2 linked regions of the Diceros bicornis minor genome follow. The protein of the gene in region 2 interacts with the protein of the main gene of each other region in a biochemical or structural test. Links are inferred from orthologs where the notes say so. Each region holds a gene or a part of one and is shown on either strand. Other genes may lie near its edges.

Region 1 (3,749 bases), on a different chromosome or scaffold from region 2:
CATAAGGATTGATCAATGGAACAGAAGAGAGAGTCCAGAAATCAACTGCCATTTATACAGACATCTGAATTTCAATAAAGTTATCAATGCAATACAATGGCACTCTCAACAAATGATGATGGAACAACTGGATATCCATGTGGGAAAAAAATTTAATATTTTTCACAAAATAATTTTCACACCATTCACAAAAACTAGAGCTGGATCACAGGCCTAAACATAAAAGCTAAAACTATAAAATTTCTAGAAGAAAATACAGAAGTATATTTTCACAAACTGGAGGTGGCCAAGATTTCTTAGACAGGACTCTGAAAGCAATAACTATAACAGAAAAAAATGATAAATATGACAACATCAAAATGTAAAACTTTGCTTATCAAAAACAGCTCTAAGAAAATGAATAGCCAACCACAAACGACTGATATCCATAATATAAAAAGGATATATAAAGAACCCCTACAACTCAATAATAAAAAGACAAATAATCCAATTTAAAATGGGCAAAAGGGCCGGCCCCATGGCTTAGCGGTTAAGTGCGCGCGCTCCGCTGCTGGCGGCCCAGGTTCGGATCCCGGGCGCGCACCGACGTACTGCTTCTCCGGCCATGCTGAGGCCGCGTCCCACATACAGCAACTAGAAGGATGTGCAGCTGTGACATACAACTATCTACTGGGGCTTTGGGGGGAAAAAAATAAATAAATAAAATCTTTAAAAAAAAAAACATGGGCAAAAGATTTGATCAGGCACTTCACAAAGGAAGATATAAAAATATCAATAAGCACAAGAAAAAGTGCTCAACATCATGAGTAATCAAGGACTAAAATTAAAACCTAATAACATACCACTTTACATCCAGCGGAATGGCTAAAAATAAAGACTGACAACACCAAAAGTTAGCAAGGATGTGAAGCAACTAGAACTCTCATACACTGTTGGCAGGAAATGGGCTAATAAAACTACCCAGCTGTAAACACATGCTACTCTTCATGAAAAAAGAAGAATGACTTGAAGATGAAGCCACAGGTGCAGAGGGTAGGGCAGGCCACAGAGGATTAGTCCCAGGCCTTGAACCCTAATGGTTCTTTACATACCTTGGATATCAGTCCTTTGTCAGATAGGTGTCAGTGCTTGCCTATTCATTTTCTTAGAGTTGTCTTTGATGAGAAGTTTCAAATTTTGATGTAATCCAATTCATCTGAGTAGACACCTTAAAAGGGTCTAGGAAGTCAAAAAGGGGAAACAACCCAAATGCCCATCAATTAACGGAGAAACACAATGTGGTATATCCCAACAATGGAATATTAATATTCAGCTATAAAAAGGAGTGAAGTACTGACACATGCTACAACATGGATGAACCTTGAAAACATTATGCTAAGTGAAATAAGCCAGACACAAAAGGACAAATACTGTATGATTCCACTTATATGAAATTTCTAGAAGTGGCAAATTCATAGAGACAAAAAGTAGATTAGTGGGACTGGGGTTAGGGGGAAACGAGAAGTATCTGCTAATGAGTTGGGGGTTTCTTTTTGGGGTGACAAAAATGTTCTGGAATTAGACAATGGTGATGGTTGCACAACCTTGTGAATATACTAAAAACCACTGAATTGTTCACTTTAAAAGTATGAATTAGGGGCCGGCCCCACCACACAAACGCTTAAGTGGGCGAGCTCCTCTCTGGCGGCCTGGGGTTCGCAGGTTCAGATCCCCGGTGCGCACTGAGGCACCGCTTGTCAGACCATGTTGTGGCAGCAGCGTCGCATATAAAGTAGAGGATGATGGGCAGGATGTTAGCTCAGGGCCAAGCTTCCTCGGCCAAAAAAAAGAGGAGGATTGGCATCAGTTGTTAGCTCAGGGCTGATCTTCCTCACAAAAAGTAAAAAGAAGAGAAAATTTTTTTTTAAAGTATGAATGTAATAGTATATGAACTATATCTCCACTTTTTTGAAAACATCTAGAAAGGCTGAATACGCGTCTAAATTGAGTGTCAAATTCCTTTTAAATGGGTAATTCCTGCCCAACCGCAGCCACTTCTTCCAACTCCGATCAGCTACCGACACAAACTTCAGCGCTCTCCACGCCTGTCAACAAGCAGCAAGCAAAGGTCTGGCGCCCGTGCAGGGAACCGCCCCAAGCAACGGGACGCCGCCCTCACCCCGTCGCGGGTCCTGGTGCGTGCGCCCCGTGTGGCGGCGCAAGTCCCCTGCACCCCGCCCCTCCCAATCCCACTCGCAGTTAAGCCCTGCTCCTGAACCCCCACTGGACTAGTCAGCACAGGCCTCCAGTCTCACGGCCACTCTGGGGGCACCGCAGGCGAGCTCAACCGCCGCCCCCGGCGCCTGACTCAGGATCCGAGCCGCCCCGCGCTCCACAACCCCAGCGCCGACCACCCCAGCGGGGCCGCTTTCCCTTCCCACTTACGCGCCTCGCGCAGCGCGCGGCGAACGCACGCAGCTCCCCTAGACTAAATGCGAAGGGAATGGAGTTTACCCACAGCCGCGCAGAGGAAACTGGGAACGAAGCACAAGAGAACCCTGGGAAGAAGGTCCAAATCGAGAGAGAGCCGGGGGTGGGGCGAAAAGAACAGGAGGGGGGAGCCGTAATTCAAGTCGGAAGGGGAGAGGAGCCGCAAAGCAATCTTTCGACAGCCGTAAAGCAAGCTGGAAGCGCGATGCTGACCGCTGCGTTCGGAGCCGCTGTCTCCGCCTCGCTCTCTCTGCCTGTGGCTCCCCGACGCCTGCCTCCAGTTCTACGGCCGCCCAGATCTCTGCTGCCCCCTGGCGGGTCCGGCCAGCTCGCCCGGTGCATGCGGCTTAATCTAAGGCCTCTTAGGGCCCACTTCTCTCGCCCCTTCCCACAGGACCTCACAAACCCAGTCCCAGTCAGAGTGCGGTGATGGGGCGGGCGAAGAACTTCCTGGTATTATTGGTGCACACTAGGGATATTGCAGGAAAGGAAAACCGTGCTTTTAAGTCTTATTAAGAATGGTTGTCAGAGGCCAACCCGGTGGCGGCGTAGTGGCTAAGTGCACGTGCTCTGCTGCTGGCGACCCAGGTTTGGATCCTGGGCGTACACCAATGCACCGTTTGTCAGGCCATGCTGTGGCAGCGTCCCATATAAGTGGAGGAAGATGGGCACAGATGTTAGCCCTAGGGCCAGTCTTCCTCAGCAAAAAAGAGGAGGGTTGGAGGATTTGCATGAATGTTAGCTCAGGGCTGATCTTCCTCACAAAAAAAAATAATGGTTGTCAGAGCTCTGTAGTTTCCACCCCAGACACGCACAGCAAAACCAAGGCAATGTGGACATACTTGTTCACCAAGCCTCCTTTCTCTCCTACCACTGCTGCATACACCCACTGATCCCCGGATGGCGTGTTACATTAGCTAGGACCAGAGGGAAATGTGTGGCGACTTGTGGGAAGGGAGTGCTTCTTTAGAATGTCCCTTGGAACCGTGCCTTGCAACTGGGTGATGACTGCATATCCTGTTAGCAATGCTCAGAAACAGGATTAAAAAGTTTAGTCATCACAAACCCAAATTAAGTACTAAGGACTCCAACAAAATCATTCTCTTACGTTTTACAAATTGGTTGTTTCAATAAACCCCCTTTAATCAGATGGTTCGTTGTCTGAGCAGTAATATTCCATCCAGGGCAAATCATTTCTTGGATGACTTCTCACTCTTCTTAGTAACACCGTCGGAAGCTGAGTAAAAAGCCTGGAATCAGACCCAATGCAGAAATAATTT
Region 2 (3,749 bases):
GAAGAACTGAGAACAAAAAAATTTTTTAATTATTTTCAGGAGGTATTAGTAAAAGCGAACAAGCCTTGATGTCCACAGAATAAATGGACTTAAATCACACCAAAACAACCTGGACAATTTAACAATCAGGATAAATTTAACTCAAAAGATAACAGATATTGGGCTGGCCCCGTGGCTTAGCGGTTAAGTGCGCGCGCTCCGCTACTGGCAGCCCGGGTTCGGATCCCGGGCGCGCACCGACGCACTGCTTCTCTGGCCATGCTGAGGCCGCGTCCCACATACAGCAACTAGAAGGATGTACAACTATGACATACAACTATCTACTGGGGCTTTGGGGGAAAAAAAAAGGAGGAGGATTGGCAATAGATGTTAGCTCAGAGCCGGTCTTCCTCAGCAAAAAGGAGGATTAGCATGGATGTTAGCTCAGGGCTGATCTTCCTCACAAAAAAAAAAAAAAGATAACAGGTATGAAATCTCCATTCTTAGAGACTTGACATGACCATTTGTTCTTGATTGGTACAGATACAGATCTCGTAGATGGCAGATTTAGCATAATGTGAGTCTATGATAAGTCCAAATATCGAATCAGCTGAACATAATTTAAATTTAAATGTCTCCCTTCATAATTTACGGAAAAGATGGCACTGCAGAGTAATGGGGAAAGGATGGTCTTTTCAATTAATAGTACTGGATTGATTGGATAGCCTTATAGAATAAAATAAACTTGATCTCTATCTCATACCACAGAAAAATAATCAATTTCCAATGTAGATTATAGATCTAAGTGTAATGGGAAAAACAAAGCTTTTAGAATATAGACAAATATCTTCACAACTTTGGGACAGAGAAAGACTTCTTAAACTAGATACGTAAAGCAATAACCAAAAACGAAAAGACTGAAAAACTAGACTATACTTTTATTTAGAACTTCTATCCATTAAAAGACACCATGAAGGGAATGAAGTCAAACTATAGTGAGCGGAGAAAATATTTACCACATATATACACCAGGGGCTGATAACCAGAATATATAAAGAATTCCTTCAAATCAGCAAGACAGGCAACCCAAGAGAAAAACAGGCAATGGATGTGAACAAGGCCTTCACAACAGAAGATAGTCAAATGGCCCAACAAACATATGAACAAATGTTTAACCTCATTAAGAATCAGGGAAATTAAATACTAAAACCACAAGATACAACTATATACCTACCAGAATAGCTAAAATTAAAAAGATTGACAATATCAAGTGTTAGCAATCATGTGGAACAACTAAACACTCAAACACTGCTGGTTTGAGTGTAAACTGGTACACCTTTGGAAAAGTAGTATTCAATGTGAAAGCTGAAGATAGACAAATGCTATGACCCAAGAATTTCACTACTCTGTATTATTAGCCACTGAAAAGCACACACATGTGCACCAAAATGTATACAGAAATGTTCTCAGCAGCCTTTCTCATAAAAGCCAAAAACTAAAAACAACCCAAATGTCTACCATGGGTAGAATGAATAAGGAATACAATATAACAACGAAAAAGAATTACTGCTATATGCAAAGACGTATGAATCTACAGACAGAATGTTGAGCAAAGCCAGACACAAAAATATAAATATACAGTATTACTTATACAAAATTCAAAAACAGGCAAAATTAGTCAAGGGTGTTAGAAGTCAATATAGTGGTTACCTTTGGGGAGAAGCGGGGAGAGTATTAGACAAGGGGGCACAAGCGGGGCTTCTGCAGGGCTGACAGCGTTCTACTTCTTTACCTGAGTGGTGATTACACAGGTATATTCATTTTGTTAATAATTCATGGAGCTGTGTACACTTTTGATTTGTGCACTTTTCCACATACATATTACACTTCACTTTAGAAGTTTAAAAAAAAACAAACCTCACTACAGATCGTTCCTTAGGCATCACTAAAAGGTCTTCCGCATTAGATAACGAAAATTTCCCTTTGGCAATTGGAGTTTGGTACTTTGTAAGCAAAACACGGTGTAATGGAAAGAAGACTGACCAGAAATCCGGAAACCCTGGCCCCGACATGAAACAGCTGTGACTTTAAGTCACCACACCTCCCCGGATCTTGGCTTCCTCGCCGACGCCCATAAAGCAGGGGTTGGAAAGGAAGCCGTCTAAGGTTGCTTCCACCTCTAAAGACTGGGGTCCGCTGCTGTTTTGCCACAACGAGGTCCGAAGGTCGATGTGCCCGGGCACGCCCCAGCTCCGCCCCGCCATCTTGGAGCTTCTCGGCGCAGAGGGGCCCCATAAGCCGGCCGGGGGAGCAAGGGCCCGGGGCCCGGTCCGGCTAACGCAGGGACGAGCCCGGCGGTGGAAAGGGGCCCGGTCTGCGCCTTACACACTCACCTTGGCTTGCGGCGCTCGCTACTCTCCCGGGCGGGCTGCGCGCTCCGACTTCCCTCCGCTGGCTCGGGCGCGCTCGACCCCGGACGGACTCCAGACCCCCTCGCTTGCGCCTCACTTCTCTACTCCCTTGCTCTGGCCCCTGCACACAACCCAGGTGAGCTTCAGCTCCCGACTACGCGCCCCGGAGCCCGTCTCACCTCTCCTCAGCCCTCAGCGCGCGCGCCGTCCGGCAGCTTTCGGAAAACCCGCCAAACCTCTGGCAGGGTCACGCCCGCGTCAACGTAACGTCTCCCCGGCCTTCTCGGATCCGCCTTCTAGCCCCTTCAGCCACTGCTCGCGAGCTTAAGAGATGGGTCAACGGAACTTGACCTTGCATGGTATTATGGATTGCCCTCTTCCTTTTCCTCCTAAGGGCTAATTCAAAATTTGGGAGTTGCAGCTTTCTTCTCCTTACCAGATCGAGGACTACAACTCCCAAGAGGTAGTGGGGTTGGCCCGAGATTACATCTCCCAGTATGCACCGCCGGCGGACGCCGCGACTGTAGTTCCTTAGCCCTCCTGGGAAATAGCGTGGCTCTGGAGAGCTGTTGTTGATTTGCTTCTGAAGTTTCTAAACGTGAGCTTTTGGCACTTCAGATAGCTGTGAGCCTCCGGTTCAGTCAAATTGTCAGAGCCGGGCGCTTTCCAGGCCCCTGCAGGCGGTGGAGCTGAGGACACTCGAGCAGATGGATTAAACTGGGAAATAGAGCTAGTGGAGGGAAGAAAGAAATGGCTGAAGTATTAGTCAAGCTGTGGTACATTACTGAAGATTTGCAGGACTCCAGAGGAAAGAGGCATTGATTGTGAGAGGGTAAACCTTATGGTTTACTAGAAAGTTTGACCTGTGATTCCGATTTTAAAGAGTCAATAGGGTTTCCCAGGCGAGGAAGAGAGAGAAGACATAAACAGAGCAGTGTGGGCATGGACATTAACGACATGGTCAAGGAATAGTATTGTCTGATGAGGGAGGAAAAGTGTCGTAAGAGGTGCTGAGACTGGAAAGTTACGTTTAGTTCAGGCTATGAAGAGGCTTAAGACCAAGTATGGAGCTTTGTCTTTATTTAGGTAATGGGGAAATCATTGAAAATTTTTAAGCAGACGAGTCATGTGGTTAGATCTACTTTTTTCTCCACCAATACTTTATATTTGTGGAGTGCTTCAAAGTTCATAAAGTTTTTATTTAATCCTCACACCATTATCACGTGGCAATGAAGGATAGATTTCGGGAGAGTGAGAGTCAAGACAGCAAAAACTGTCAGGAAGCTCTTGGCAATATTTCAGGCAAGAGATGAAGGCTTGAATTAGAGCAATGCCAGAAAGAACAAGTTCAAAAAGCAT

Evidence for each region.
Region 1: the proteins of RAD51 (region 2) and RAD52 form a complex in vitro, tested with the Homo sapiens proteins (6 studies listed by BioGRID). The link is inferred for Diceros bicornis minor from reciprocal best matches to the Homo sapiens genes RAD51 and RAD52.

The regions. Positions count from the first base shown.
Region 1 is NC_080756.1:59,530,685-59,534,433, forward strand, and holds the start of RAD52 (DNA repair protein RAD52 homolog), read right to left. Parts: upstream 2,516-3,749; 5' UTR 2,425-2,515; intron 2,125-2,424; exon of another isoform or gene 1,092-2,124; intron 1-1,091. UniProt on the Homo sapiens protein: Involved in double-stranded break repair. Plays a central role in genetic recombination and DNA repair by promoting the annealing of complementary single-stranded DNA and by stimulation of the RAD51 recombinase.
Region 2 is NC_080744.1:38,529,212-38,532,960, reverse strand, and holds the start of RAD51 (DNA repair protein RAD51 homolog 1), read right to left. Parts: upstream 2,620-3,749; 5' UTR 2,570-2,619; exon of another isoform or gene 2,373-2,569; intron 1,772-2,372; exon of another isoform or gene 1,690-1,771; intron 1-1,689.